Linked DNA regions of Rattus norvegicus. The protein of the gene in region 2 interacts with the protein of the main gene of each other region in a pairwise test. Links are inferred from orthologs where the notes say so. Each region holds a gene or a part of one and is shown on either strand. Other genes may lie near its edges.

Region 1 (3,651 bases), on a different chromosome or scaffold from region 2:
AGTGTCCTGGTGTATATATAGAAACTTACCTGTAGTCAATGATGGTCAATAACTTAACCCACAACAAGCCTCTTTCTTGGGATATTTAGTATAATTACTCAGAGAAATGGCAGACCTCTGCAGTTAGGGCTGCCTATGAAAAGCTTTCTTTCATGAGGAGACAGTTATAGGCATCTACAGGCAGAGCCTTATCTCATCTGGTAACCTCCTTCTGCCCGGGGAAGCCCACAGTCAGAACTTTATTACTCTAAGGTCAAAAGGAACAGTTTCCAAAGCCATTAGCACCCTTTTCTTCCACAATTTGCTTTCTGCTAAACTAGCATAGTGCCTTGGCCTGAGGTAATGTATACCAGTTCTGAATCTCTGTGCATTGTAGAGTTTTGGTAAGTTTTGAATCTGAGTTAAACACACGGTTAAGTTTGTAAACGAAATTGCAGTGCGATTTAATTAACAAGGAGCCAAGGAGTTTCCTAAAGCTGCTTATAGGTAACTAACGTGGTTTATGGGTAGGCTTGCCTGAAAATGCTGTTATGAGTGTAGCTGAGGCGATACTGTGTGTAGGAGAACACGTTGATGACACTGAGAGGGATGGCACAGAAAGGCCACTGGCCCACACACGCCTGAAGAGGGCCTCTGATGCACAAACAGAAATTCTAGCCAAACACACTGGGTTGGAGCTGGGTAATTTTTGGAGAGTAGCAGGAGAAAAAAAGTCTGATTGCTTTCTCATCCTGAAAAAACTGTCCTAATGATTTGGTAATTGTAAGTATTATACGGATTTATAAAAACAACTCACAGGAGAGAGTATAAAGCTCCAAATGGTTTCTCCTATTTTCTTTAATTTTCTCCTATTTCCTTCATACTCTGTCCCTCAGTATAACACATACACTGAGGTGCCTATATAAATGGCTTAGGATGATATAAACAGTGGTTTGGAAACATTCTGGATCTTTAACACGACAGAGCTAAGGGGCACATCTAGGACGATTTGATTGGAGAAGAGAAAAGAAAAATTTTCTCTGTAACACAGAGGGACATTATTATGCCTCCCGGTGTTCTAGAATGATTCAACCTTGTGTTGTTGGGATATGAAAATATATTAAATACTGTTGTGACCTTTATGTTGTGGGGGGTGGGGGTCTGTTGTATTAGTAGAAGGTATCAATGAACACTTCCTGAAACCTTTTCATAATGCATTTTATGTACATAGTAGTACCCTACTCAAGTGTAGTTTACTTGGGTTTACAGATAAGAAATCTGTTACTCGGGTATGAGCGTAGTTCTCATACATCGTCCTTGGTATTTCGTTCTATCACACCACACAAGTGAATGAGACGTGGTTACTACCCTCAAGAAATTACCCATCTATCACAGAAGCTGAAGAAAACGTAAGGGAGAAGAGAGAAACCAACCAAGTCTCATGTGGGAAGTCGTCTTTGAAGTGAGTTCTCTGCTGTTGGTCACCAGTGGGGACAGACTGGGAGGGCTGTCCTGTGTGTAGTAGTGTGTTTTCAGTCATAGGACGAGAGGGGTGCAAAATTAGCATTCTTTCCCTCCATCCACAGTTACTGTTGGTGCTATCAAACCCCATGTTCTTCAAAACCATTTCCTCCTCTGTGTGTTTCTGCTGAGTAATGGTTCCTGTGTTTGCTTTTCTCTCTGTACCAAGAGCCCCTTAACCTGTGTCATCTCTTCTTTTTGTTCTCACAACACAGTGCCTCGTAACCAGGCATTAACCAGGCACTAACCAGTCATGAAATTAATGGTAGATGAGCACAGTTCTTGGCAGACGTAACCATGGTTGTTGTTGTTATTATTATTATTGTTTGTTTTTTGTGACCTATCCTTAATAAAAAAATATTTTACAATAAGTGATCTAATTAACAATTATTTTATCAATAAATTTGTCCCTATTTATTATATTTTGCTTATTAACTAAGTTTGCTTTAAATATCCCATTGCTTCATTCTTTCAGCAAATTACTATTGAGTCTTTAATTTATCATCTCCTATCTTAAATATTATAGGCATCCGATGATGTCCAAAACACACACACACAGTGTTCTTGAGATTGAAAAATAATCCAATTGGGAATTAGCTTCATTAACTAAATACTCTCTCCCGAAATGTATGACTTGAAATGCTTGTTACTAAAGAATGACTCGTGGCATAATGCAAACCCCAAGGGGATTGCAACGTTAGGATGTGACTAAGAAAATGCCATTAGGCTATGAGTTAAATGGCAGCTAGAAGTTCTATGCTCAAAGGGCTGGAAGGGTGGCCGTGGGAAACGGGCAGACGCTTAGGGTACAGTGTGCTCAGGCCTTTGGAGAACGGAGCACGGAAGTTCAAAGAACTAAAAGAGAAGATGAGAATGACTTCGGTCGTGGTGGCGTGAGAATGACTTCGGTCATGGTGGCGTCAGGGATGGATTGGTAAAGAAAAGAGATACAGGGAATACAGTGGAGATGAGATCAAGGTTAAGCCGGTCAGGGTTAGACCGCAAGAACAAAAGATTATCTTAAGAATTTTGGGTTAGAATTCTAAGATCGATGGGTAGCCACGTGCGTGGAGTAGATTGGCATGCGTGGAAAATCTTCACTTCGGTAATACGAAAGGGGATGGGCTAGAGAAAAACACAGCAATGGAAAATGTAGGGAATCCCAAAAGGAGGATTTGAAATTAAACCAAATCCATTTATGTGGCTGATAGGTTATTTCTCTGCCAGCGGAAGGAGCCGATTCAAACCAGATGAGAGTATTTTAGAGGCGGGTTTATGGGGAATCTGCTCCCAGGCCAGTTTATAGGCTCCAAGGATAGAGGTCGGGGGGCGTGGTCATGCGGGAGAGGGGAAGGAAGAGAAAGAGAAATGGCCTGCTTGGGGGGGTGGGGAGGAGAGAGAGCAAGAGGGGGAGAGGGGGAGGAGGAGGGGGAGGGGAAGGGAGGGGGAGAAGGAGAGGGATACAGAGAGAGACAGAGCGAACAAAAACATGTCTGAATTATATAGGGAAGAAGAGACAGGGAAGAGTATGGAGTGAAGGGCAGCCCAGTCCTTGGGCTGGAAAGTTCAGGGGCATGGGGGCCAGGTCTACTTTGGTATGTAAAATATGCACCTTGATCCCTTGTCCCCTGGGGTCTGAAACCAAACACTGTCTTTTTCTGATGTTAAAGCCAATGAAATAATTTAAGAGAAAAGTCCTATATTAGAACATAATACTTACCTAATCCTTTCAGGATTTTCTTTTCCAGCTTTTGCTCTTTATTACTGACAGGCCCTTTGACTGTGGCAGGCTCTTCAGGAGCAGTGGGTTCTCTGTCTGTCTCTTCAGTGGTTTCCTCATAGTCGCCATCCTCATTGTCCGGTGCCTCTGTGTTTTGGGGCTGCTCCTTAGTTTCGGAGGTGCCCTCTTTTCCTGTGGGACTGGCAGCAGACCCGTACATGTTTATAATGTCTTCCAGTTGTCGGCTCAGCTCTTCAGAGATATCGTGGTCTCCCTTCTCAGGATGCGGGCTTGCCTCTTGCTCTGCTGCTTGGCCTGAGGTTGAGGACTGTTGAACATCTTGTTTTCCTGGGACGTTTTGATTGAGTGGAGAGCTATCCCCTGGGGGATTTGGCTGTTCTACTGAGAGCTGATCAGGATGATTAGTCTCC
Region 2 (4,414 bases):
TACAAGGAAGCCAGAAGTTGGGCATGAGCCCCTTACAGCACAGGAGTTCTGAAGGCTGCAGAATGCTCCCATAAGACACTGTGTCCAGGAACCACCCTCAGGTGAAGTAACAGCTTGTTCGTTTTCCTTTTTGTTTGTGACAGCTTCATGTGGCCCAGGCTGGACTCTAACTCTAGAGCTATATGGTTTATCCACTGTAGAAGCTTCCCAAAGCTCCTTTTCCCCTGAAGCGGCGCCGGTCAGGTTCCCGGGGAAACACAGGAAACCCAAATAGCCGACCAACCTTGCAAAGGATGCGCCTTTCTCGGGGTAGCGTCTCGGGACTTCAAGCTTCCCCCCCCCCCAAGTTCTCAAGCAGAACGAACCTGAAGCTGCAGCAAGCCGAGTCGAAGTTAGACCGCGGCGACACAAAGTTCGCGCGCGTTCACACCGCCGCAGGTTCCACTGCCTGGGTACCGGGGCCAGTCAATCAGGTCTCTAGGAAGCCGCCATCTTCCTTACCGGAAGTGCTACCTTCTGGGAAATGTAGTTCAGTGGCCTTCAGGACGTGGAAGCTGATAGGCTGAGGCGTTCTAGGGGTGTAGCTTGGAGTGTAACGGGCTGGAATGGGGCTGAAGAGGGAGGGGTAGTATTGAGAGTGGGTGTGACCCGTGGTGAACTGAAGCAAAACTGAGAGGAATTTGTAGTTCGGGCTTAATCACACTAAGGTTCTCAAGGCCTCTGCTGTGATAGGACAAGAGATTGAGCTGGGCGGGGCCGTTTGATGATTGACGGGGTAGGAATTGGCTTGGACTTGCCTAGGGCCCTCTCAGTTACTTATGTGACTTGGGCTGGTATTCATTCACTAGTTCCGCGATGCGAGCTGGTGGTGCACACCTGTCATCCCAACACTCCAGAGGCCCGAAGACGAAGATCGGGTGTTTAGACAGCCTGGACTATATGAGACGCTGTGTGAAAACCAAATGGAAAGAAAAAGTAAAGAAGCCACTGTGGACAAGCTCACTGTCGCCGGTGACTCCAACGGCCTGATGCAGTAGTTCAGTCTCGTTGAAGAGAAACCTTGTGGGCTACTGAACAGGTGCAGGCTCTTGCCGCCAATCCTGACGACCTGAGTTCGATCTCGGAGACAAGCAGTACCATCACAGACAAAGATAAATAATGAAAAATAAAAGCTATGCAAGTGCTGGAGCCAACTCTCTTAGTTTTGTTTTTAGAGACACAAAATAAAATTTTAAAAAGACCTTCACATTAGAGCGAGCCCTGATGAACAGGGGGACACAGAAAATCCAAAATAAAAATGGAGGCACTACATGTTTGGGCTGGGATAAGGGGATACTGATATCTTGGAGTGGGACAAAGGTCCTGGTCCTCCATCCTCTTCCTGTTCTGGAGGAAGCTGGCATCCTGGAGAAGGAAACAAAACAATAACTGTCCATGTGATCAGGGTAGGGAGCTTCCTGTTTCTCAGCCTCTCCCAGGCCACCTTTGGCCATTGCAGCCTCAGTAGCCAGTGGCCAGAATGGCCTGAGATATTCTTAGGAGTTCAGACCTTTCCCAAGGTGCCCTGGAGAAGAAGAGAAGAGGGCCGCAGGGCCAATCCCCAGGGTGAGGGAGTTTGGTACTAAGAGAGTCGTGGGAAGAAGGAGAAATCTTAGGATACCACTCAATGCCTCCATAGGGAAGAGAGGGGGCACAGATAAGAGAAATGAATTCAGACAGCGGAGGGAAAAGGAATGCCCGGTAGAGATGGGTGACGGGGAGGAGGAGACAAGTAAACAGTGGGCACTATTGGAGAGGTATTTAAATATTTAAATGTGTCAATCAGTTCAAACGAACCAAAACTCCTACAGGAAAAAACAAAAAACAAGGATACCAAGGTAACAAAAGGCAAGAACTGAGAGCAGGCTGTAGTGACAAGAGTAATGAGTGCCCGGGCCACACGACCCCGAAGCCGGCGAGGGAGGCATCCTCTGCCTGTAAGTGTGCCCCTCTTCCTGCCACACCCAGCCCATGGATCCTGGGAACCCAGGTCTGCTTGGCTCAGAACCTGTTGTGGTACAGGGGAGACCTCCACAGGGAGAGCTGGATGTGATGACCAAGAGCCCGTGTGTGTGTGTGTGTGTGTGTGTGTGTGTGTGTGTGTGTGTGTGTGTACGCACCCGCACATGCACGGGAGTGTCATTCACAGGGGGAGCTGGACCCAGTAGCTGAGAGCTCAGAGGAGGTAGATACCACCAATGGGAGCTTCGAGACTAAACCTGAGCTGCTTCAGGAACATCTTGGTCCTAGCCTGCAGGGCCCTGGGAACCGGTAGGATGCCGGGGCCCATACTCAACTGCCTCCAGCTGCTCACCTGCCATAGCTTCCCCTGCCCGCTTCTCTCCTCTTCCTTTTTACCCTCCAGCCATGAAGCTCAGTCCCTGCTCAGCCTTCCTAGGGACCCTGGGGTCAGCCCTCCGCCTCTGCTGAGTCTCAGGTGGCTAGGGTTCCTGATTATCCTCACAGGATCAAGGAGGATTGTGATGTGGGATCCCATGGGGTCCTACCCTTGAGCCCGGAAGAACGGCGCGAGCCTGAGGTGGAAGCCCACCAGGCCCTGCAAGAAGCCCCTCTGGATACTGGCCCTGCTGAGATAACAGCACCCAATGTGTATGAGACCTTGAAGTGCAGGCTGAGCTCCCTGGAGGCAGTTGTAGCTGCCTGGCGCCGCCACTCGCTAAGCTTTTCAAAGCCAGTGGAGGCAGAAGACAGAGACCCGGGAGCTCCGGGGTCTTTTGGTAATGAGGAAGAAGCCTCTGGACCTGGACAGCAGGAGGCAGCGCACTTCATAGAGAGGAACGCCTGGCTCCGGCTGGCCCTGGGCACCCGGGAGGAGGAACTGGCGCGGACTCAGGCTTCACTGCAGGACGCCCAGGCAGAGAATGAGACTCTGCAGAGACAGGTGAGCTGGTGACTGGGAAAGAGGCAGATCCTGCTTTGAGAGTAGACACTGACGTGGGTGGAGCAGTGGCAGATGTGCCAAGGAAGTGACCAATAAAGACAGCGCGGTGAGAGGGGGAGCAAGGGAGACCGGCAGTCTGCACCCCACGATCTTAACACGCAGGAAGCTCAAGAGGGACAATCTCTACTCTGGCGAGCCCTGGCTAAGACCAACGTTCTTCTCAGCTGTAGACTGAGTCCAAGGTTAGCCTGGGTTACAGACCCTGTCTGTGTCAGTTGCACCGCAGACAGACAGACAGACAGACAGACAGACAGACACAAATCTTATCTTGGGGGTGGTGTTTTTTTCCAATTCAAGGTTTCTCTGTGTAACAGAGCCCTGGCTGTCCTGAACTTACTTTGTAGACCAGAATGGCCTCGAAATCACAGAGATCCCCCTGCCTCTGCTTCCCTAGTGCTGGGATTAAAGGTGTGAGCTATGCCAGATTTGTTTTAAGGTTTCTATTGCTGTAATAAAACACCACAATCAAAAGCAATTGGGGAGGAAGAGATTTATTTCATCTTAAAATTCTCAGGCCTCACTCTGTCACTGAGGGAAGCTCAGGCAGGAACTTGAAGGCAGAGGTTATGGAGGTGTGCTGCTTACTGGCTTGCTCTCCATGCCTTGCTCAACCTGCTTTCTTATCTCAGCCTGCCCAGGGATGGCACTACACACAATGGGCTGGCCCCTCCCTCCCCATCAATCGTCAGTCAGGAAAATGTCCACAGGTCCAATTGGGGGAGCATTTTCTCAATTGTGGTCCCTCTTCCAGAATGACTCTAGCTGAAGTCAAGTTCACACGAACCAGCACAACTCCTGAGATCACTGTAGCTGGAACTGAGTGGGAGAGGTGAAGGCACGTGGGGGAAGGTCACAGTACGCAGGGTGCTGAAGGCTGGGCAGGATTTACAACTGTGTTCTTGTGTGTGGTGGGTTCTGAGGGGAACCCTGCTGCAGGTGTTCACTTGCGCCATCTGATGCCTGTGAGAGGAACAGTCTGGCGGTGGACCATAATCCTGAAGGTGGAGGAGGGGCGACAGCAGTGGCTCGGGGCGTTTAGTAGAGGTGACCAAAAAACCTACAGATTATGGGTGACGTTAAACCCAGATGTGATAGGACAAGCCTGTAATGATAAGGACTTCAAAGGCTGAGATGAGAAGATCATAATTTAGTACTAGCTTTGAAAAGATAGGCAATCGTCTCAAAACAGAACAGAGCCCTAGCTGGTTCTGCTAAGAATCCTCGTCAGCCTGTGGGCGTGGCTCAGGGTAGAGTGACAGCGTAGAATACTCCAATGAGGGGCTAGGGGCGTGGCTCAGCGCTTAGCTTTCAGAGGCTTCTCACAATAACAAAAATGAGTTCTCCTGAGTGTGGTGGTGCACACTTGAAATCCCAGCTGCTTGCGAGGCTGAGGTGGGAGACGGCTTGAGTTGG

The links. The genes of interacting proteins can lie anywhere in the genome.
Region 1: the proteins of Ushbp1 (region 2) and Txlnb interact in binary tests that used the Homo sapiens proteins (3 or more experiments, as listed by UniProt). The two-hybrid records come from large-scale screens. The link is inferred for Rattus norvegicus from reciprocal best matches to the Homo sapiens genes USHBP1 and TXLNB.

The regions. Positions count from the first base shown.
Region 1 is NC_086019.1:14,227,639-14,231,289, reverse strand, and holds part of Txlnb (beta-taxilin), read right to left. Parts: coding exon 3,221-3,651; intron 1-3,220. UniProt on the Homo sapiens protein: Promotes motor nerve regeneration. May be involved in intracellular vesicle traffic.
Region 2 is NC_086034.1:18,098,968-18,103,381, reverse strand, and holds the start of Ushbp1 (harmonin-binding protein USHBP1), read left to right. Parts: upstream 1-1,514; 5' UTR 1,515-1,605; intron 1,606-1,850; 5' UTR 1,851-1,922; coding exon 1,923-1,976; intron 1,977-2,188; coding exon 2,189-2,310; intron 2,311-2,505; coding exon 2,506-2,941; intron 2,942-4,414.